Linked DNA regions of Pelodiscus sinensis. The protein of the gene in region 3 binds, or shares a complex with, the protein of the main gene of each other region. Links are inferred from orthologs where the notes say so. Each region holds a gene or a part of one and is shown on either strand. Other genes may lie near its edges.

Region 1 (7,850 bases), on a different chromosome or scaffold from region 3:
GATTGCCGCCGCATTAATCCGGAGCCGTACCGCGGACGTGGGCTGCCAGGCACGAAGCAATAAGACGGCACAGAAATGATCCCTGTGGTAACTGTATGGGGAGGCCGCATCTTTCATCTACCCAAACTCGGCACCTGGCACGAGGCTCGGCACAAAATGCAGCCACCCGTGCAGAGCTCAGCCACTCCGGACAGAAAATGGGATCCCCTCGATAACCGCTGTCCGGAGAGGTTTGGCCGGGACACCCCTGCTGGGGTGGGAAAAGCCCGCAGGACCTTTGATCCAAATCGCGCTGTAAAAAGGCATTTGTTTCAGATTTGCAGGGTGTGATCTTATTGGGTCAGGAGACAGGATGGGAAAGGAGGGGTGAATCCATTTCCTCTGCATAACTCAGGGTGCTTAAATCAGGTACCGAGACCACGGTCTATCATGCTGTTGCGGGGTCGACAGAATTTGCTTGGGCCCTGGGCAAAGTGTGTGTGTGGGGAGGTTTCGTGCTCCCAGAAGGGGTGGGGCCTTAATCAGAAGGGGCAGGGTGGGGCCTCAGAGGGAATGAACAGAACAGGGCAATTACCATCCCCTTTCCCAGCTTCTGGCAGTTAAGGGCTTAAGACATCCAGAGCATGGGGTTGACTCCCTGATGGTCTTGGCTAGTAGCCATCGATGGACCCATCCTCCATGCATTTATCTAGTCGTCTTTTGAACCCACTTATACTTTTGGCCTTCACAATATCCCCCAGCAAGGAGTTCCACAAGTTGACTGCATATTGTGTGAAGAAATACTTCCTTTTTTTTTTTTTTTTTTTGGTTTGAAAGTGCTGCCTATTAATTCATTGGGCGACCCCAGGTTCTTGTGTTCTGTGAAGTCAATAACACTTCCCTATTCACTTTCTCCGCACCATTCCTGATTTTATAGACCTCTCTCATAACTTTGCCTTCACTGTTTTCTTTCTAAAGCGGAAAAGTCTTGAGTCTTTTTAATCTCTCCTGCTATGGAAGCTGTTCCATTCCCTGATCTTTTTTTCTCCCCCTTCTCTGTACATTTCCCCATATGAATATATCGTTTTTCAGAGAGGGCAACTGGAACTGCACGCAATATTCCAGGTGTGAGCCAGCCAGCGATTTATATACCGGGAGTTCCCAATTTACGAACGGGGTGTGTTCCAAAAGTTCGTCTGTAAGCCATTTGTTTGGAACTTGGAATGCATTTTCCCATAGATACAACGCTGTAAATGGCAGCTGAATTCCCAAGCTGTGAAGGCAGCGCCGTCGCCAGTAGCAGCATAGAACAGATGGCATGGGGCAGCGTATTGCTACCCTTCTGCATTGGTGCCAGTGATGGTGCTGCCTTCTAAGGTGGGTAGCTGGAGAGCTGTAGCTGCTGGCTGGGGGTTCTGAGCTACCATGCCTAGCAGTGCTGGGCTCTAATGCGGCAAGCCCATTGCAAATGAAGCACACAAGACGTTAACAATTGCCTCTGCTTTTTTCTCTCTCCCTGAGTAAAGCTCTTTGGGGGCAATGTTCATAAGAATGGCCAGACTGGGTCAGACCAACGGTCCATCTAGCCCAGTGTCCTGTCTGTCAACAGCGGCCAATACCAGATACCCCAGAGGGAGGGAACACAACAGTAATCCTTACCTGATCCCTCCCCGTCCCCCACCTCCGAAGAAACAGAAGCTTAGGGACACCATTCCTACCCAGCCTGGCTAACAGCCTTGATGACCTAACTTCCATGAATCTATATAGCTCTTTTTTGAACCTGGTTAAAGTCCTGGTCTTCACCACATCCTCTGGCGAGGAGTTCCACAGGTTGAGTGTGCGCTGAGTGAAGAAAAACGTCCTTTGGTTTGTTTTAAACCTGCTGCCCATTCATTTCATTGGGTGACCCCTAGTTCTTACATTGTGGGAATAAGTAAATAATTTTTCCTTTCACTTTTTCCACACCACTCACGATTCTATAGACCTCTAGCATATCCCCCCTAAGTCTCTTCTTCTCTAAGATGAAAAGTCCCAGTCTTTTTAATCTCTCTTCATATGGGACCTGTTCCAAACCCCTCATCATTTTTATCGCCCTTTGCTGAACCTTTTCCAGTGCCAAGAGATCTTTTTTGCCAATATAGCTTTAACACACAAGCAACTCCATCCCCACTCTGCAATCGAACCATCTCATAAACACTTATGATATGGGATGAGGAGTGGGTGATGTCTGCTCCCCAAATTCCCTCACAAGTCAGCCTGTCTCCCACAATCTGCCATGATAATCCCCCTCCAGTCAGTGAGCCTGCATCAGGACTCCAGATCTCCTTACACCTCGCCACACTTACACGGCTGCAGCGTGGCCCTGTGTAGACACGAGCCACGTGGCTTGTACTGGTGCAAACACAAGTGTGTGAAATTCTCACAAGGGTTTCATCAGCGCATGACCGTGGTGCAGCAGTATGTGCGTCACTTCCCATCATAGCGATGTGCCTGCATTCGCTATGTTGACAGCTGCTCCCATGTGTGTCATAGGTCCTATACCGTTCAGCAACCGGGGGAGATTCCCATTTAGCTGAGATGATAAGGATCTGGTTCTAGCCAGGCTGATGCAGTGACGTTCTCAATGGCTGTGGGGTGCCCTGTGCTGCCATGAAATCCTCTGTGGTTTGGCACCACAACACACCTGTAGGGCCTTAACCATCCCTCTCATGCAGGGGCATCTTTTTTGGAAAAAGTCGGGCATGGAACTGGCTGTGATGGGTTAGTGGTCTGGTCCCATCTCTGAGGGGATGCAGGGAGGAGACAGCCTGGTCCTATCCTGGGGCAGAGATCAGGACCTAGCTCCCTCTGTGGTCTGCTCTGGGGCTGCCATGGCAGGATGCAGCTTCCTGCCCAGCCAGTGGGAAATAGGGATGGAGCTGATAATGTGGCACTTTAGGAACCTAGGCCTGCTCCAGTAGCCTCCCCAGGCCCAGGGAAGACCCTGCAGCAAGGCCAGGAAGGAGCTACAAAGGATGGAGCATGCATCCCTCCCCACCCTAAAGCAAATGGTGCTCCCATGAACTCTACCCGTCCAGCCATGGAACAGGGTCGCTGTGTCTCCACCAGTGCCACACGGGGTCACTTGCAGACACTTCCTCCCCGCAGCAGGAGTTACTTGCTTTCCTTTGCAAGGCCCTTTGTGGTCTATGTCCACCCCATCTGTAACCACCCCCCCCCCCCCACTCCTCCTGCCTCTGCTTTGCCAATGCCTGGAGCCTTTGTCACCCACCAGGTAACATTTTCAAACAAGCGGTTGTCTCCTTTACCACCTCTCGCACCTACGGTGTCGCGAGACGGCCGTCCAGCACTCCAACCTTTCGGCACTTCCTTCCACTCCTCGCTGGTCTGGCGGAACTACCTGCTGGCTGTAGATTGCAAGCTGTTTGGGGCAGGGACCAGCTCTTTGTTCCGTGTCTGTACAGCGCCTAGCGTAACAGGCACCACCCCCACTGGCAGTTCTAGGTGTTAGCGCAGTGCAGGCAGCGAGGACAAGGGGGAATTGCTAACTCGGGAGCATCAAAACGTTGGGGGTTGGACCTGGTGAAATCACACAACAAACGTTGGGCTGGTGCAAGAGCTGCCAAGCTACAGCTGTCCCACTCGTAAGCTTCCTCTGCACCCATCAGAGAAACGTCCTTAAAAAAAAAAAAGGCAAGGGTTGCCCTGTGCTCTAGATCAGGGGCAGTTAAAATACAGCTCATGAGCGGCCACTGGATCCCTACCTGCCCCACTCCTGCACGCTGCTCAAAGAAGTAAGCTAGCTCTATGCTTATGTGACTGCTGTGAACCTGGGGAGAGGCTTCTCATCCTGCCCCTGCCCCAGCACAATCTCACAGCTCCCATAGGCTGGTTTCTGGCCAATGGGAGCTGCCTGTTCTCAGGACCGGCAGCACGCAAAGTACCCCTCTCCCGGGCTCACAATGTTTAGAGCAGCTTCTGCTTTGAGCAGCTTGTGGGGGCATGGAAGGCAGGGAGCCTGGCTGAGAAACCTGCTGGGCAGGGCTGTTGGCCAGGAATTGTTCAGGTAAGTGTCTCCCAGCCGAAGCCTGCCTCTGGCACCCAGCCTCTTCTTTCCCCCAGTCCTCTACCCCCCGTCCTTCCTGCACTCCTGTCCCACATAACCCAAATCCTCTGCACCACTGATCCTGCACCCATATCCCCTCCTGCACCCCTCCTCCAGGTCACAATCCCCTTCCAGACCTTGCACCCTCATCCCCACCCCCAGTTACAACCCAAATCCTTGCACTCCCGCTCTAGATCACAACCGCCTCCCAGATCCTGCACCGCTGCCTCCATCCTTCCTCCTGGTCAGAATCCTCTCCTGCACCACCTCTTGCACCTCTCCTGTCCCAGGTCATAGCCCCCTCCTGCGCCCGCCCTCCATCCCACGCCCTGCACCCCTCCGGTCAGAGCATGGAAGATGCAGCCCTCGACCGACTTTCCAAATTCTTGGAGTGCCCCCTCCCATCAAAAACTACTGCCCCCCCCCCTGCCCTGGCTGGGGCCAGGCTGCCCCGCGTGCACCTGACTTGATGCCCTGCGGAGGGGCTGCGATTCTAATCACGCGACTCCAGGAGCCGGCCGGCCAGTGGCCGATCAGCTGGGCGCATGGGAGTCCTGGCAGTGCTCCTGCTCCTTCCCCGCCTACCGCCCCGCGCAGACTACAACTCCCATCGGCCCCCGCGCGCCCCCCGCCAGCAGCCTGCCATGCGCACAGCTGCTCTGCGGCCGACAGGGCCCGCGGCCGCGCGGCATGCCGGGAGGTGTAGTGCTTCCGGGCCGCCCGGGCGCTTGCCGGGGCCGCGGCCGGGGACTACATTTCCCGTGGGCCTGCGGGCGGCGCGCGCGCCCTGCCGGGGGGAAGCGGCGGTTCCTGCCTGCGCTGGCTGCGGCCTGCCACTGAGGGACTGGGCGGCCCCGGCCCTGGCCCCGGCGGGGCGGGACTATGGAGCCGGCCGAGGCCGTGCTGCAGGACAAGGCCCTGAAGTTCATGGTGAGCCGCCTGCGGGGCCGGAGCGCGGGGGGGCGGCGAGGGGGAGGGGCGCGCTGTGCGGGGGGGGGCTGCTCTACGGGAGTGCCGGGGGGGGGGGAGATGGGGGAGCAGGACACCGGGGGGGGGAGGGCGCTGCTCTACGGGAGTGCCGGGGGGGGGGGAGATGGGGGAGCAGGACGCCGGGGGGGGGAGGGCGCTGCTCTACGGGAGTGCCGGGGGGGGAGAGATGGGGGAGCAGGACGCCGGGGGGGGGAGGGCGCTGCTCTACGGGAGTGCCGGGGGGGGAGAGATGGGGGAGCAGGACGCCGGGGGGGGGAGGGCGCTGCTCTACGGGAGTGCCGGGGGGGGGGGGAGATGGGGAGCAGGACACCGGGGGGGGGGAGGGCGCTGCTCTACGGGAGTGCCGGGGGGGGGGAGAGATGGGGGAGCAGGACACCGGGGGGGGAAGGGCGCTGCTCTACGGGAGTGCCGGGGGGGGGGAGATGGGGGAGCAGGACACCGGGGGGGGGGAGGGCGCTGCTCTACGGGAGTGCCGGGGGGGGGAGATGGGGAGCAGGACACCAGGGGGGGGGGGAGGGCGCTGCTCTACGGGAGTGCCGGGGGGGGGGAGAGATGGGGGAGCAGGACGCCGGGGGGGAGAGGGTGCTGCTCTATGGGAATGCCGAGAGAGGGTCAAGTGGTGGGGGAGCACGGCCCTATGGGGAGAGCTGGGGGAGCGGTACCTGTCGAGTCACAGATGGGGGGGCTGCTGGCAGGGGGAGGGGGTGCTTGGGGGAGCAGGCATCTGCGGGATAGGTGAGTGCTAGGGTGGGGGGTTACCAGCGGGTGGGAGATTCAGGGCTGGAGAACAAGGCATGGGGGGTTCTGAGCGATGCGAGTGCCAGAGCGATGGTGCGGGAGGGCCTGGGGAAGTTGGTCATGGGGATGGGTGTCGCAGGGTATTGAGACTCTCAAAGGACTCTGATAGGAGAGAAACGGGTTGGGGAGTGCGAGAGCAGGGGGCACTTAGGATAGCATTAGGTGGGGAAATCAGCCAGGGTGCAGAGTCAGGAAGAAGGCAAGTTCTGGAGTGTGAGAGGCAGGGACCTTGGAGCAAGGGTGAGTGCTGGGATGGGGGTGGGGGAAGGCACCTGAGCCTTTGTAAAGTCACAGTGAGATCTTTGTACAGTGTGGGCAGGGCTTGGGGTATCTTTTGGCTGCACTGGCGGATGCTAGTTGATGAGCATAGAGTTTTTTAGGAGGTGGGCTTAAATGCTTGGATTTGGGCGCAAGAGCATGTGGACGAGAAACCTTGTGCTGGGGATCAGGGAGGGACCTGCAGATGTGGCAGTTGGGGATCTGAAGGTATGTTTAGGACCATCAGAGAACTGTAGAGATTCTAAACAAGATTTCTGGCCTGAGTGGTGGTAAGAGATGATCAACGAAGTATTGGTGCGAGGTGAGGTTTTGGTTCTGCGTAGAGTATTTGGGGTGCACATCTGCTCTCCGTAGTCTTTTTTTCTTAAGCCCCTTTTTAGCCTGGGTATGGAAATATACATAGTGACATTTTACCCTGTTACATCTGCCTGCTCTATTACATCCTTGTTAATAGAGAGGATGCAAAGAGCCTTTACATTGTCTTGGGTTATAAATTGGCCTGTGGCACAGAAAATAGCTTTGGCTATCAGTAGCCAGACGAGTTTTCAAATGTGACTGGCTTTTTTAGATTTGGGGTAATACACCGAGTGAGACGACAATTATATTCCTCCTTTATCATTGTTTATATTTCTAAGTTGTTTGATTGGAAAAATAGCATCAAGAAACTAAAGCAGAGAGTGATGCCAGCTTTAGTTTAATACTAATTTTAGACGCTCTAAACTGTTTTGCTTCTAAGAATACATTTCAAGTGACTGGCAACATTTGTTGGAAGTTTATTTGTTGTGAATTAATGCTTTCACTGGCACAGAATTAAATCTGTGCTCATAAAGAACATAAAATACAGCTAAGCTTTTAGAATGTATGCCCAGTATGGAAATATTGAAACACCAGATACAAATCTTGGCTTTCCTTTGCATTTCAAAAGTCGGTAGAAATTCTAAATTGTTGATTAGCTTCTTTTTTTTTAATCTTGTATAATTGGTACATATTTTTAAATCTCTTATGTCCAGATTAGGAATGTTACATTTCAAGTTAATCAGATAATTGAGGAGACAATGGAATTTCCATCGACTACTCGATTAGTCGATAAGGGGGGCACTTGCTATCCTACTGCGCCTCTCCCTTTGAAATGTCCAAGAGCCGCCCATGACTCTTGTACATTTCAAAGAGAGAGAGGTAGCAGAGAGCAAAGAAATCCCAGCTGGTGTGGGTTCCCCTCTGTGCCTCTTCCTTTGAAATATACAAGAGTCACAGGCAGCTCTTGTACAGTCCAAAGGGAAAGGACCAGCGCTAATGGGACAGTTTAAATCGTCACTTGCACTGTTTCCCCGCTGCCCCCTGTGGAGAGGGTGCAGGGGTGGGAAATGGCTTTTAACCTGGCTCCCCCAGTGCTGGCTCTTGCTCCCCCCCTCCTTACTGCCCCTCTCTGATAGAGGCAGCAATGGAGGGGGAGAAGCAACTAGTCAAATTCCTACTCCACTGCTTGAGAAGCATTTATTGGGTAGTCGACTAGTCACATACATCTGTAGTCCAGGTCATTGAATTCTTTTGCCAGTTCCTGTATTTTTGTCAAGTTTATGGAAGAGGTGAAAAAGATAGGGGGTGTCAAAATATCCTTGGGAGTTTAAAAAAAAAAAAAAAAAAAAAAGCCCTCGCCATATGTAATTGACTAGAGGAATGTGCCATGGCTTGTTTGTTA
Region 2 (7,147 bases), on a different chromosome or scaffold from region 3:
CGCTCCCCACAGGTTATGCTGCAGAGTTCTGGGCAGGCTGTGGCCAGCACTAGGGATCAGGCCCCCCTGTACTCACCATGAGTGTAGGAGCTATGGGAAAGTAGAGCAACACAGCAGCCTGCTCTGCTCTACTGCCATTTCCTAAGCCCGGTGTGGGGCTAGAACATTCCACTTCCTGCTGCCATGGTGAAGCAAAGCAACCAGGCTAGACTGGTATATTGTGGCAGAAGCTGCTACATTACTCCACTTCTCTGCAGCTCCTACCACTATGGTGAGGGCCAGGGAAGAGGTTGTCCCCAGTAATCACTTAGGCTATGTCCCTGTGGGGAACAGGTGGGGTAGAGCAGCGACTGGACTTGGGAGAAGAGTACAGGAACCCCCCAGAGTCACAGGGATTCACACGCCAGCAGCCACGTGCAGGCCAGATTGTGCAACTGCTCAGGTCGCAAATGGCTCACGAGCTATGTGTTTGAGACTCCAGACCTACATAACCTCTTGACTGTCAGCCCTGATCTGGAAATCAGATATAGGAGCCCTGCTACCCTGCTGTCAGTCCCATCCTGAGTTCACCACTGGATCCTTGCCCTCCCAGCTCCCGCTGTCAGCCCCTGAGATGAAGGAATAAGGGACCTCCTCTTTCACTCCCCACAATGTTTCACTTTTATCCATACAAGCACTCTTCACGACAACATGCACCACGAGCAGTGGGGGGGCCAATGTGAACATGAAAAACAGCAATAATTATTGTGGTAGCCATATGTTAACCTGAAGTAGATCAATTTAATTCTGTGGAAAAGGAAGACTTGAGTTTGACTTATCCCTGAGTATCTGCATAGTGGGGTGGGAGGAGGGACATAAGAGGATACTATTTCTTGTCTACTGTTCAGAAAAAAAAAGGGGGGTCTGATCCTGCTCATACTCACTGCAACAGGATCAGCATTTGTCTCTATGTGAAATCTCTTACATGTGCCTATTAGAGTATTAACTTTATGTATTGATGTAAACATACCTACAAGCCTTAGTGAAGAAAAGCAGTAAACCTGAAGCGCAAAAGCAGGATTCCAGGGTATGTTTGTACTGGCTCATACACCTGTGATTCAGCCCAGGATCAAAGCTAACTCCTTAGGATCTACACTGCAGTTGTGCAATCCCAGTGCTTTGACACAGAAGCTGGAGTCAACCTGGGACCCAGCTTCTGAGCCCTACTGCTTTGCAGTGCAAATGCGCTCAAATTTGACTGAAGTCCTGAGAGCCATCTGGAAATACACCATAATTCCACTGAACAAGATTCCTTAGTCTTCCTTATCCCAATAATCTTTAATCCACCATTGAAAACGGAAGACTTTCACCTCCCACATACAGTTGGCAAAAGGCAGCAGCTCAAGTCAGCACTGAACCATTCTTTCTGACCACTGACCTGCAAGCACAAGTTCAGAGACCTCCGGAATTTGCAACAGAAAGCAATCTAATCACACCTTCTGCAAAATAAGCTTTTTCCTGGTAACAGAGCTGGCAGTAAAGTTTCCTACACTACCCAAGTCTAAGAATGAAAGCTTCCACCTTTTAGGGAACAGGCTACATGGTAGGTACTTTGGAAGCTTTAAATCAGATCTGTGTACTACAATGTGGATGCCAGAACCCTAGAATTTGAACCCAGATTAGAAAAAGCTTGTGGTAGGTGTTAAATATAATTCAGACACTCAATGCCAGGGTTCCTGAACATTAGTCAGCAAGCTCAAGTCCCACTAACCTTGGTCTAACGTTGCCTTGTCTCCTACCCCTGATGCAACAACCCAAATATCTCTATGCCCCATTAAACAGATCTCTATCCTGATTCCCTTGAAACCGAGTCAGCTGACACAGGTCATCCCCCTGGGTGTGTGGGTGCAGCGAGGAGACATACCCTGCATATCCATAGCCAGAGCCCCGCAAGGAAGAAAGGCGGCCCTTTCTCACCATCCTGACAGCTCCCTGAGCAGCACCACAGAGTCACTTTCAACTCTGGCTCCCTCTAAAGCCGCTTGCGAGGAATCACCGTCCCCGCGGCGGGGTCAGGCCCGCATCCAGACTCACCTTGAGCAGGATGGAGGGCGGTAGCTGGTTGATGTCGGAGGGAGGCGATAGCGGCGGCTCTCGGCAGCACTCGCTGTGGTTCTCGGGCGGCTCCTGTCGCTCCGGCTCGTTGCTTTCCTCCTCCTCCTCCTCGTACGGCGGGGGCAGCTCAGGAGCCGGAGCCAGCTCCCCCACGCCGCTGCTCTCCCCGGCCGGGCCCCTGAGCGGCGGCCCCCCAGCGCTGGCAGCGCGGTCGGTGGCACAGGGCAGGGGGCAGAGCTGCTGCTGCTCGCTCGGACACTGGCAGGCGGCGGCCTCCGGTTCCGGCGGGGCGGCGGCGCAGCGGGGCTGTTTGCAGGGAGGGCAGGCGGGCAGGCCGGCCCCTTTGCGCTTACACACCATGTCGGGGGCCGGCTCGCCGGGCGGCCGCGCTGAGCCCAGGAAGGCCCGCACGGGCGGGGGCAGCAGGCCCGACAGGAGCAGGCGCTGACACGGGCCCCGCTGCTCCCAGGCGCCGGGCGGGAGGTGCAGGAGGCGGCGGGCGGCGCGCTGCTCCGGGGAGCTGAGGGCCGCGCAGCGAGGCGAGTCCCGGCCGGGCAGGGGCTGCTCCGGGGCGGGCGTGCTGGCGCCGTGCACGATGAAGCAGAGCATGCAGGGCCCGCGCAGAAAGCAGCTCCGGCTGCGCTGCGGCACCTTTCTCCGGCGGCGGCGGCGGCGGCTCCTCTCCCCGCTCAGGCTGGTTCCCTCCCTCGAGAGCAGGTGGCCCATATAGGAGGCTCCGGAGCGGGGATTTGCGGGGGCCCGGCCGCCGTCCCCGGGCAGGTCCCTTCGCGGTGTCAGCTGCGGCGGGGGGCAGGGGCGGCGGGTGTCATGGGCCCGGTCGCTAGGCGGGGAGCGGGAGGTGGCGCCGGTTCTTCCGGGATATTGAACGGGGAGAAGCTTCCGCTACCGCCGCCCTGACCTTACCCAGAAGCCGCTCGCGGCCCGCCAAGAGGGGCCGCTCCGGCACTGGCGCTCTGCGGTGCTGCCGCCTACGGCCGGGCTGTGCTAGGGCCGCCAAGCCGCAACTCCGGCGGCCGCCCTCCCCGAGCCCAGCCACTCTGCTCCTACAGTACTTGCACTCTCCCCCTTCCTCCCCCCCCCCCCCCCCCCACACTCTGGGACAGCCCCACAGTCCTCTCACACACACACACAGCTCACAACAGCCCCCACTCCTTCCTCCTCACACAAACACAAGTGCCCTGCTTCTGCTCCCTCAGGCCACACAAAGGAACTTCTTTTAACACAAGCATATTGCTCCGTACTGCACCAAGGCTATGTCTAGACTGCAGGCTTCTTTCGAAAGAGGCTCTTTCGAAAGCATCTTTCGAAAGAGCCTCTTTCGAAAGATCGCGTCTAGACTGCAGGCGGATCTTTCGAAAGAGAAATCCGCTTTTTCAAAAGAGAGCACCCAGCGAGTCTGGATGCTCTCTTTCGAAGATGGCCTCTTTACATTGAAGAACGCCTTCTTTCAAAAGAGAAACTTTCGAAAGAAGGCGTTCTTCCTCGTAAATTGAGGTTTACCGCCATCGAAAGAAAAGCCGCATTCTTTCGAAATAATTTCGAAAGAACGCGGCTTGAGTCTGGACGCAGGGGAAGTTCTTTCGAAAAAAGGCTACTTTTTTCGAAAGAACCCCTGAGTCTGGACACGGCCCAAGAGACTACACACACTGCCATGGGTAGTGTTCGCTCACAACAGTCTGTGTCCCCCCCCCACAAATTGCCCCAAACATCCCCCAAGAGCTGCTTTCCAATATGGTAATCACCTCCAAGAACGGCTTCCCCAAGAATTTCAATCAGATTCAACATTTCAGGGATTACTATCCCTCCCTAACACCTAACAAAAGAACTGGCTTTTAAAATAGGCTCCCCAAAGTAACTAAATTACTGAGGAAAAACTACATTTCACAACACCGGACCAAATTCTCACACACAACTTGCACCACCACCCTGTTTTTCCTGTATACTGTACTGGACAATATGGCCCAGGACCTGGGTTGCTGGGCTGTTCTTCCCCTTGATTTCAGTCTAACCACAATCATGAGAATGTTCTGATTTTAAAAATACAGTGGAGTTGAGATACACACGAATAGCGTATTTTTTGGAATTTGGATAATGTTTTAACAATAGTTTATTGTAACATTTTTATCAGAAAGAATTGTGTAAAACCATTGAAAACAGACAACTATATGAGATCAATATTCTGGAAAAGATAGGGAGGATGTTAGATACCATGTAATTGAATAATTGTGTAACCACATCAATTTTTAGTCACTACATGACTGTTGGATTGGCTGCTGGCCCTGGCCCTGGCCCTGGCCCTGCCCCGAGGACTGTGTGCTCCAGACCCCACTCACAGGGAGCCCCCTGCCATCAGCAGGGGGCTGTAGGCAAGCCCAGGGCCCACTGCAGTCAGAGGCTGTTCCATAGCAGCCTCCCTTGCTTGCCCTCCTGCACCACTGCATCTGACAGAGGTAGCAGTGTGGGGGGAAAGGGAAGCAGACTCAATGCTCGTGGGAAGCCAGCTTTTTTAAGCCTGCTCCCCTTGAACACTGACTCCTGCCTTCCTCCCCCCACCTCATTGGGAGGCAGTAAGGTGGGGGGCAGGCAGCTCCATGGAGATGACATGTACGGAGAGCTGGCTTAAAAGTCAGCTCTCCATGGCTATGTCTACATTGGCAGGTTCTTGCACAAGAACTCTTGCACAAGAACACGTTCACACTGCCATGTGCTTTTGCGCAAGAACATCCATGGCAGTGTGGACGCTCTCTTGCACAAGAAAGCTCTGATGGCCAGTTTAGCCATAGGGCTTTCTTGCACAAGAAGCCCCGGCCGCGCATCCACACTGTCCTCTTGTGCAAGAGGGCTTACACTTGTTAGAAAAGAACATAGCTCTTGCACGGGAAGCCCTTTCTTCCAACACTGTACTGTAAATCTTCTTGTGCAAGAGCAGGCGGGCAGTGTGGACACTCTGTGGGTTCTTGCGCAAGAATGGCTGTTCTTGCGCAAGAACTCGCCAGTGTAGACATAGCCCATGTGTATCTGCTTCTACCATCCTCACTCCCTACCGCACCGGTCCCTCTGATATGGAGGCAGCAGCATAGGGGGACAGACAGCTCTGTGGGATCCAGTGTCACCACACCGTCCCACTGGCACCAGGTGCTGCCTTCCCCACCTTTGCTACCTCTGTGTGTGTAGTCAACGGAATTAACCAATAAGCCCAGCCTTATCTGTTAATCATGTGATCCTCTACACATTGACATCCCCCCCCAAAAAATCTTATTTAATAGATGAAAATGTTAACTGAAAAAATATCCCTTAATTGTGTTAAAAGTTTTAAAGACAAGCATACATTATGTTTATGTATAGGCCCACTTCCGCAGACAAGCAAGTAACTTGATTTATGTGAGTTGTTCCTATTGATTTAAGTGGAGTTAACAAGATGAATGAAGTTACACATGTAACATATATTTCAAAATCACACTTAGGATGACTACACAGCATCTTTTTTGTGCAAAAACTTCTTGCGCAAAAGGGATCCGAGGAGGAAATGCAAATGAGAATGTGACATATACAAATGAGGGCTCCATTTGCATTTCCTCTTGCAGAAGAGGCTGGTAGTGTAGATGTAGCCCCCGGTGTTTGGCTTCCCCCAAACTCTATGTCCCCTCTTTAGATTTTTTCCCCCAAACTCTAAATGTTCCAGCTGACTTCTTTTGGGTTTAATGCTTTTAACAGTTTGGTCTACAAGAAACAGATTGTATAATTGGTCTCTCTTTAGGTCCCTGCAAAGACACAAGTGGTTACATTTAAGTCTTAAAATTTATCCACAGGGCTCAGTGTTAATGGCAGTTTTGAGCTGAGCTTGTGTCTAAGCATTTGCTAGATTACTGCCTTAATAACTTTAATAAAATACCCCAAAGTGCCTTAGTTTTTAAACAATATGGGGCAAAAATTTGCTCTTTGTTACAGTGTATAAATTGGATTGCTCTTCATTTACATCATGTTCAAATAAGAGGAGAATTTTGCCCTTCACTAAGAGGGAAAAAACAGATTTTAATTAAAAATATATGATCCTATTGAGAATACCTATTATCAATAACAACTTTTTATGTTGGGATTACATGATCAATGACACATTATATTTTTGTTTTCTACATATATTTCCAATGCTGTCTTTAACAGCACAAGATAAGGTATGTTGCATCTTAAAGAAAAACATCCATATGAGAGAATTTAATCTGAATCTGTAAAACATTACAATTCATTTAAAAATTCAAATAGAAATTAATGTCAGATTTGGCATAGTTTTTCCCTTGATGTTCCAGATGTCCACTTATCATGGGTGTGACCAAGTTTCTCCACGGTCCTGTAAAGTTTGTTTACAGCCACTGCTCCAGGATTTTAGTGTTCTGTGCCGTTATTTAGATCTCATTTATCCCTAAATGTGTTCTAAGCAGTGGAAGTGTTAGTAATGTTGTTAGACATTATTGAGCTCCCATAGTTCAGCAAATTTTCTGGTTCAGCATCAGTCAGGTCTGGAGGGTGCCAGATTAGAGAGGTTCAACCCATAGTAACCTTTGCTTAAAGTCAAACACAGTGATTAGTTGCACCTACTAAGAATCAAGAGGTGGATGGGCACAAGCCTGCCCATGCATAAAGGTGATGAGCGATTAGTTGCAGCTCATGGTAGGAATGCTCTAAAAGCATGAAGTTCCTCTATCTTCTTTCTTCTCTTCTTATCTGGTATTTTTCCCAACACTTCTCATAATTTTTGTAACCCGTTTCTGGATATTGTTTTTTTCTGCTGTATCCTTTTCAACATAGAATGACTAGTCCTGAACACCAAACAGTGTTCAAGAAGTGAAACTCTTTTTCCTTTCTGGATATAGTTTATTTAGATCGTAGCACTTTGTGTGAGTAATTTAAGTACCTTCCAATTTGTTACATTACATTTGTTAACAGTAACTTTAATTTGGCATCCTGCTGTAAATTGCCTATCTTTGTCTGGCATTCCTTGTAACCACATTGTTCATCCAATTTTTCTGATCATTAA
Region 3 (7,024 bases):
TTTCAGCTATATTGTTTTATCTGTTTCATAATGCAGACTCTAGCATGTCAATACTGCTGATCCGGACTACTGCAACAAACCCAGGCCAATGGAGCTCAGCCAGTGCAGGTTATTAAGCAGAATGCAAGCTGAATACAGAACCTCATCTGAGAGGATGAGTGCAATCTCATCAGTTCATGTTTGGCAGAGTTACAATCAATCCTACGTGAAAATTTAAGTGGTAGGGATTTTTTTGGATGGGCTCAGACAAACAAGCACTGCATTTCTCACTTAAGTAGGATATGAAATTTGTTGCTGCAACGTTACAACTATGGTTTCTCTTTTTAGAGTGCTGAATATTGATTAAAGTTACATTACTCAGTAGCATTAAGCAGACCAGTCTTATAATGAGAAGTTAAAACTGCTTCAATACAAATAAGGCTCTTACTTGCTAGATAAAAATTACTTCATCTAAAAACAGTCACCTCTGCAATCCCTTTTACTGAACCCAAAAAAAAAGCAATGATGAGATAGGAAAAGCCTACATTCAACTATTCAGGTTTTCTGCATTTTATTAAAGCGATGAGGAGTCCTGTGGCACCTTATAGACTAACTGAAGTGTAGGAGCATAAGCTTTCGTGGGCCAAGACCCACTTCGTCAGATGCATGTAGTGGCCACTACATGCATCTGACGAAGTGGGTCTTGGCCCACGAAAGCTTATGCTCCTACACTTCAGTTAGTCTATAAGGTGCCACAGGACTCCTCATCGCTTTTGCAGATTCAGACTAACACGGCTACCCCTCTGATACTTGACACCATGCAATGCATTTTATTAGTTTCCTTGAAATTATGTTACCGGTTGCACATTGTTTAGCCTCAATATGGCATATTTCTACTAAGTGTTATAATTTGGATTTACATCACAGCACTGCTTGTTGCATAAGCAGACTGAATCAGCAGTAATTTAAATATCCGATTTTCAATCTAACTATACTGAAATATTCACTGTAGGGACAATTTTTACTATCTAAGTATTTTAACTACTATTCATCTGATGAAAGACCATGAAAGCTCATGAGCTTACATAAGGCCGTGGCATCCAAACAGTTCTGAAGCAGTAGGCACTATAGTGGCTATTTGCTATAGCAAACAAGCCACACTCAACCAACCAAATAGCCACAAGCCACACTCAACCAACCAAATAGCCACATATAGCTAGCAACAAGCATGTTGGACAGCCAGGTCTAAGGTGCCATAGGACTACTTGTTTTTAAAGTTACAGACTAACACAGCTACCGCTAAGAATTTTAACTGTATTGTGTCATACAGAAGTTACTGTTTATTGCAATCTGGAAATGCAAGACTTTCTTTAGATTTTAGCTTCATATTTGAGATTTACACTTTTTCCCTACATGAGAATGTTTTCTGGAAAGGAACATTATCAGGTTTATGCTTGTTAAGGTGACAGTATCAAGTTTTCTTGTCTATTCAGTCTACATGCACAACTACAATGACACTGAGTAGTTATTTGTATGATCTATTTAGCTACACAACTTTAAGCATCACAAGACATTATCACACAATCAACTGTTTAAAATTAATCCTGGCATCTTGACATGATACTTATTTGGATCTAGTCAGCCAAAATTTAGTCATTTTAAGGTGCAACAAATGAAATAAAAATTAATGGTCTAGATACACAGGTTGTAGAAGCTTAAAATCATGATGCTGCATGATAGGATAGATGCATAGATTCTAGCTTATTCACTTTATGCACAGCTATTTGCATTAAGGTCAGTTTCACATTAATTTCAGTCCATCTTTCAAATACATGATTGTATCAATTTCAAAAACAGGACTTTATTGTCAGAAGTCTTACTTTAAAAAAAAAAGCACATATTATGGAGAGGAGACTTAAACAATAATGGAGATCAGTGTACTTCGTTAGTAAAAAAAGATAGATGTACTTGCAGTGTAGAACTTAGAAAAAAAAAAAAACAAGTTCGCCTCAGATAACCGGTGCCAACACAGTGACTAAGCAGAATGGTGCAGAGCCCAAATGTGACAGTGCTGAATCTGGTAAAGAGTCATTATACTATTATTATTATTTATTAAGGGATGTACTTCAATTACAGCACTGCGCTCACATTTTTATTGGCCCTCGCTGCTCAGCTCAACCACTTATGGTATCTTTAGCCAACTCTGTGCCCTGCAAAGCGGAGAGAGCCGGGGCTCTTCTGCATTTCTCAGAACCCCTGGGATCGCCATTAAGAAGAACGAGGAGGCCCTGTGGCACCCTGAACCCTAACACGTTTATTTGGACACCAGCTTCCGTGGGCTGGAGCCCACTTTGGCAGCTGCGTTAGTCTCCATTGTGAAACGTCGCGTGTCAGCCCCTTGTTTGGAGGGGGTCAGGCGCAGGGTCTGACAGGCCGCCACCCACCTTAAAGAAGTGCCCGGTGGGGCCCAGGGCAACGCACAACGCAGCCGAGAGCAGAGCGGGGCTTGTCCGCCTGCGAGGGTCTCAGAGGGGTCCTTCCACCGGGGCAGCACCCCCTCGAGGCACTGCACCCAGCCCAGGCCGGCCCTGCGTCCGGGGAAACCCGCGGGCCGCCGCCCCGCAAGCGGTACGGAGACCCCGCCCGTAAGGCGCTCCCCCACCCGCCCGCCTTGAGGTAAGGGGAGGATCCCCAGGCCGCAGCGCCTAGCAACCACCTGCTGTCACCTCCCCGCTTCCCTCCGCGCGGGGCCGGGCCTAGCTTCCCCAGGGCGGACGCTGCGGCCTTCACCGCCACTGGCCCCCCAGCCCCGCTCCCGGGACCGCCAGCCCCGCCGCGCCCCCGCTCGGGGAAGAGCCCTCAGCCCTGGCCCTCACCGCGGCACAGCGCCCGGCTCTGCGTCCCTCGGCGCGGACCGACCCCCCAGCGACAGCAGCTAGGGCCCGACTGCGGCGACGCCTTTTATACCGCGGGGCGGGGCGGGACTGCGGGAGGTGGAAGGCGAAGGACCCCGCCGCTGCCTCACAGACACAACCCGGAGGCGTCCGCGCAGATCGCCTGAACGGGCACGAGGAAATGGCACAGGGAGCCCGCCCGCAGGACACAACCGCCCTGCCCACCGCCACTTCGATGCAGGGAGGCGAGGGGTGAAGGGATGCCCAGCATGTAAACAGCCGGGCGGGGGAGATTAAGCAAGAGCCACGGCGTCTCTCAGGCAGAGGGTGTCTAACCAGAAAAGCCGCCTCACATGGCAACGGCAACAGGCTCATAATGGGTGGAGGGGGCTTATCCCAGCACGTGTGCGCTGCTAGCCCCCCCCAGTGATGTTGGCAGCTTTCAGGGCTAGGCCCCATGCCCAGCCTGCAGCTTTTCAACAGTCCTTTCCTCATCTACCAGGAGAGGGCGTGGCACAGACTCCCCTGGGGCAAAGCTCCCAGCTCTAGCACTAGCTCCTTCTACAGCCATAGCCAACTCTCTTTCCACATTAGCAAAATGGGAGTGATGAGCTGGCTTTGGTGGGATTCGTTTGTACCTGGGAAAACAAAAAGGAGTGCTGTGGCAACTGAACCCTGACAAGTTTATTTGGGCATAAGCTTCCATAAGCAGGACCCTACTTTGTCAAATGAGTTCCAGCCCAACAAAAGCTTGTGCCCAAATAAATGTGTTAGTCTTTAAGGTGCTATAGCACTGTTTTTTGTTATTAGTTTTTGCTACAACAGACTAACACAGTTGCCCTTCCAAAACTCCTGCCTGTCAGGCAGGGACGAAGTCTTCCTCTGAGTTTGTGCCTTGATCCTCATCTCTACATGCAAGCACTAGGGATGTAAGCGACTAGTCAACTATCAGATAACTAGCATGTCCACTCTTCGATAAGCTTTTGTTTGACTAGTCAGTCCCATCCCGTCCCCGTTTCCCCCCTCCCCCGCCCCGTTGCCTCTATCACAAAGAGAGAGCAAGGGGGGTAAGAAGGTGGAGTGCAGGGGAAGCCAGTTCGCTGCAGCTCTGTGGGAGGGGGCAGAGATGCAGCAGCAGCAGCCAATTTTGAAATGTACAAGAGTCACCATTGGGACTCTTGTATATTTCAAAGCAGAAGCACTGCATGGAGCCTGGGGGAGTCCAGGCTTCACACAGCATTTAAATATTTGAAATGTACAAGAATGTCTGCTGGGGCTCTTGTACATTTTAAAGGTGGAATGCAGTAGTCCTTAACTAATCGAATAGTCAATGGAAATCCCATTGACTATTTGATTAATTAATTAATTAATTGAAATTTAACATCCCTACCAAGCATTACAGCTAATCCTGATATATTCTGAAAATTATGTTTGCTGAAGGAGCATCGTAAAAAATCTCAGGCCAGCTTGGACTTGATTGGTGTTATTGTGGTACAACACTTCAGCCCCAGTACCTTTCAGAGGAACAGAACCTCCTGCTTCAAAAAGACCCCTACCAGTTGTGCTAAAGGGAAATCTTATCAGCTCTGTGAACTTCATTTTCAGAGATTTAGTCCTAAATTTCCCTACCTTCCCCACAAGTTGTCCCCCCCCCCTTTTTAGTTACAGGAGAAATAATAAAATTGGTGTTATAGCAAAGTTACTTGCAGCATAAAAGAACAAAACATGCAACTTTTTAATATTCCTGCATGAATAATTTTTGTGTCATTCATTTTGATTCTGAAACACACATTTATGTATCTTAAACTGGGAGGCTGCGTTGCTTTTGCGGAAAAACTTGCCAGCTGTCTACACTGGCCACTTTGAATTTGCACAAGAACACTGACAATCTAATGTAAGATTGTCAGTGTTCTTCAGCAAATACAATGACTCTCCCATTCAGGAAAAAGCCCTCTTGTGCAAATGCTTTTAACCGGCTGATAACCGTTTTGCGCAAAAAAGCCCCGATGGCGAAAATGGCGATCGGGGCTTTCTTGCACAAAACCGCATCTAGATTGGCACGGAAACTTTTCCGCAAAAAGTGCTTTTGCGCAAAAGCGACCATGCCGATCTAGACGCTCTTTTCCACAAATGCTTTTAACGGAAAAACTTTTTCCTAGACGTAGCCGGAGAGATGTGATTTTCATTAACTGTTAGCGGTATAGAGCCCATCATATAACACAGTTGAGAGGTTCTAATTCCATTCTGCAAAGGACAGGGTTACTCAAAAGATTTTGATTGTATAACTACACATTTTCCTATATGCCTCAGAAGGCTGAGTCAACTCTGCAAATATTCACATCTCTGCTTTCAAGGTACTGTACTTACCTATATGCACTAGGCGCATAACACAATGAAACTCGCAGTTGTCAATTTCTCCAAGCAAGCTAGGGATACCATTATTACTTGATGAAGGGCACTTGAGAGAAATAAGGCTATTAAAAACTTAATGTTGAGGGCTGAGGATATATTTGCTAAGCAGCAATTTAATCTAAAAGCTGTACTGACAGCTAAAATCCTCTTACATGAATGTGTTAATGCTGTTCATCATTACATTAAATCCTACCTCCAGAAGGGAAATGTCATGTGTCTACTGCAGCACTTGATTTCTCAAGAAAGTTGGCTCAGTGCCATCTTTTACAAACAAATGGCCAAGAGCCATTAGGCATCGTTCACAACATTAGTACTAGAATAAAACAAAACACTATTCAGAATAATCCTGCTTCACTTTAAGGGCTTTGTTGTATGGTACCTGTCTTCCTCTCAAACCCCCAGTGTGAGGTAAAATTTCAAAACAAGGGATACAAGAGAAACTTAAAATAATGAATTCATTCCCTATTACTTCAGTTTCCTGAGTCACCATTTCAGATGTAAACCCAATAAAACCTTACGTCACGCAACCATCCAACAGATTAGCAAAACTTTGGTCCTTAACTAAACAAAATTGTAATTGAGATTTTGAGGATAATGTAAAGTTATTGTTTAAGACAACAGTTTGATTAATCAAACTGGAAATGTAAAACCCAAATAGCTGGATAGCAGCTGCACACAAGTTGATGGGGCACACACTTAAATTTGGGCTTAAACTGGAAATCATTAATAATTTAAAATCCAAACCTCCAATGAGCTCCATACAGCTGAGTGAAATGCTGCCTCTGAGTGTAGTCCCACTGATGTCAATGTTGGAGTCTGCCAGCATGGAGCTCATAGCAGTATTAGGCCCAGAACCTCAAAGTACTTAGGCGTGGCTCTACTCAGCATTACACCACCTACCTCTGATGCAGTCTGCTGCCTAGTAGAAGCCTCATCCCCAAGCTAGGCGCCTCTGCTCCATATACAATGCAGGAGACAAGTTATTAGGGTTTCCAACATTCCTAACCAGACAGCATTCATGGCAATAGCATCCAATCTTTCCAGTTGGGAAAGCTGGCAACTTGTTCGGTGCCTAAGAAAGGGCTCCTCAAAAGCCAGCAAGCTGCCAGTGCACCTGACTGGTGAGTAAGAGATGCAACTCCCTCTGCTTGGAAGCTTCAACTAGAAACCCTTTCCTAGAGTTAAGCATCTAAACCAGATCACCTGCTTCAGTAGCTCAGGGCCTAACAGCCAAAAACACAGTCTTTGTCTCCTTCTCTCGCATGCTTTGCCTCATATGCTCACTCTGATACATTCCTGGAAATGTCACCACATTTTAAGTGATTAAAGCTTAATCTTTAATTCCTGGAGACTCCAGGACATAGGCATGGGGACAGAGCCTCCTTGCACCTAGGGGCTGCAGGGAGCTGGCAGTTGCTTCCTGGAAGCCACAGTAAGCACCAAGGGAACACCATAGCTTCCACACTTCAACCCTGTGCCCCTGCCCAGAGTCTCCTTCTGCACCCAAACTCCCTCCCAGAGCCTGTATCTCTCACCCCACCCTAGGCACCAACTCTGTGGCTGCTATAGGCTGGAGCCCCCATAGGAAAGATTAGCAGGTCTGGGGAGAAAAGGTGGAGGAGACAGCACAATGAGGGGAGGGGAGATGAAGCCACTGGGGGCAGGGCCTCACAGAAGGAAAAGGGCAAGTGTGTTCCATTTTGTGCCATTAGAGAGGTAGCAATCTTAGTTAGCAACCC

The links. Proteins that work in one complex are often made in the same cells at the same time.
Region 1: the proteins of SKP1 (region 3) and BTRC are in contact, whole or in part, in a crystal structure (PDB 1P22), measured with the Homo sapiens proteins. The link is inferred for Pelodiscus sinensis from reciprocal best matches to the Homo sapiens genes SKP1 and BTRC. Residues at the interface, in NP_733779.1 of Homo sapiens: Asn51, Ala53, Ile54, Val95, Asp96, Gln97, Gly98, Thr99, Leu100, Phe101, Ile104, Leu105, Asn108, Leu116, Asp117, Cys120, Lys121, Val123, Ala124, Ile127, Lys128, Gly129, Pro132, Ile135, Arg136, Lys137, Thr138, Phe139, Asn140, Ile141; in NP_378663.1 of Homo sapiens: Met175, Leu176, Gln177, Arg178, Asp179, Phe180, Ala183, Leu184, Arg187, Leu189, His191, Ile192, Ile196, Leu197, Tyr199, Leu200, Asp201, Ser204, Cys206, Ala207, Ala208, Glu209, Leu210, Val211, Cys212, Lys213, Glu214, Trp215, Tyr216, Arg269.
Region 2: the proteins of SKP1 (region 3) and FBXL17 are in contact, whole or in part, in a crystal structure (PDB 6W66), measured with the Homo sapiens proteins. The link is inferred for Pelodiscus sinensis from reciprocal best matches to the Homo sapiens genes SKP1 and FBXL17. Residues at the interface, in NP_733779.1 of Homo sapiens: Lys78, Glu79, Lys80, Arg81, Gln97, Gly98, Phe101, Ile104, Leu105, Asn108, Leu116, Asp117, Cys120, Lys121, Val123, Ala124, Ile127, Lys128, Gly129, Lys130, Thr131, Pro132, Ile135, Arg136, Phe139, Asn140, Ile141, Lys142, Asn143, Asp144; in NP_001156787.2 of Homo sapiens: Pro319, Asp320, Ile321, Asn322, Leu324, Pro325, Ile328, Lys331, Ile332, Phe333, Ser334, Asn335, Leu336, Leu338, Asp339, Glu340, Cys342, Leu343, Ser344, Ser346, Leu347, Val348, Cys349, Lys350, Trp352, Arg353, Gln364, Arg370, Gln371, Val373.

Annotation. Positions count from the first base shown.
Region 1 is NC_134718.1:73,920,216-73,928,065, forward strand, and holds the start of BTRC (F-box/WD repeat-containing protein 1A), read left to right. Parts: upstream 1-4,836; 5' UTR 4,837-4,966; coding exon 4,967-5,014; intron 5,015-7,850. UniProt on the Homo sapiens protein: Substrate recognition component of a SCF (SKP1-CUL1-F-box protein) E3 ubiquitin-protein ligase complex which mediates the ubiquitination and subsequent proteasomal degradation of target proteins. Recognizes and binds to phosphorylated target proteins.
Region 2 is NC_134716.1:63,827,319-63,834,465, reverse strand, and holds the start of FBXL17 (F-box/LRR-repeat protein 17), read right to left. Parts: upstream 3,015-7,147; 5' UTR 2,821-3,014; coding exon 2,074-2,820; intron 1-2,073. UniProt on the Homo sapiens protein: Substrate-recognition component of the SCF(FBXL17) E3 ubiquitin ligase complex, a key component of a quality control pathway required to ensure functional dimerization of BTB domain-containing proteins (dimerization quality control, DQC).
Region 3 is NC_134727.1:28,118,367-28,125,390, forward strand, and holds the start of SKP1 (S-phase kinase-associated protein 1), read right to left. Parts: upstream 3,016-7,024; 5' UTR 2,856-3,015; intron 2,568-2,855; exon of another isoform or gene 2,424-2,567; intron 1-2,423. UniProt on the Homo sapiens protein: Essential component of the SCF (SKP1-CUL1-F-box protein) ubiquitin ligase complex, which mediates the ubiquitination of proteins involved in cell cycle progression, signal transduction and transcription.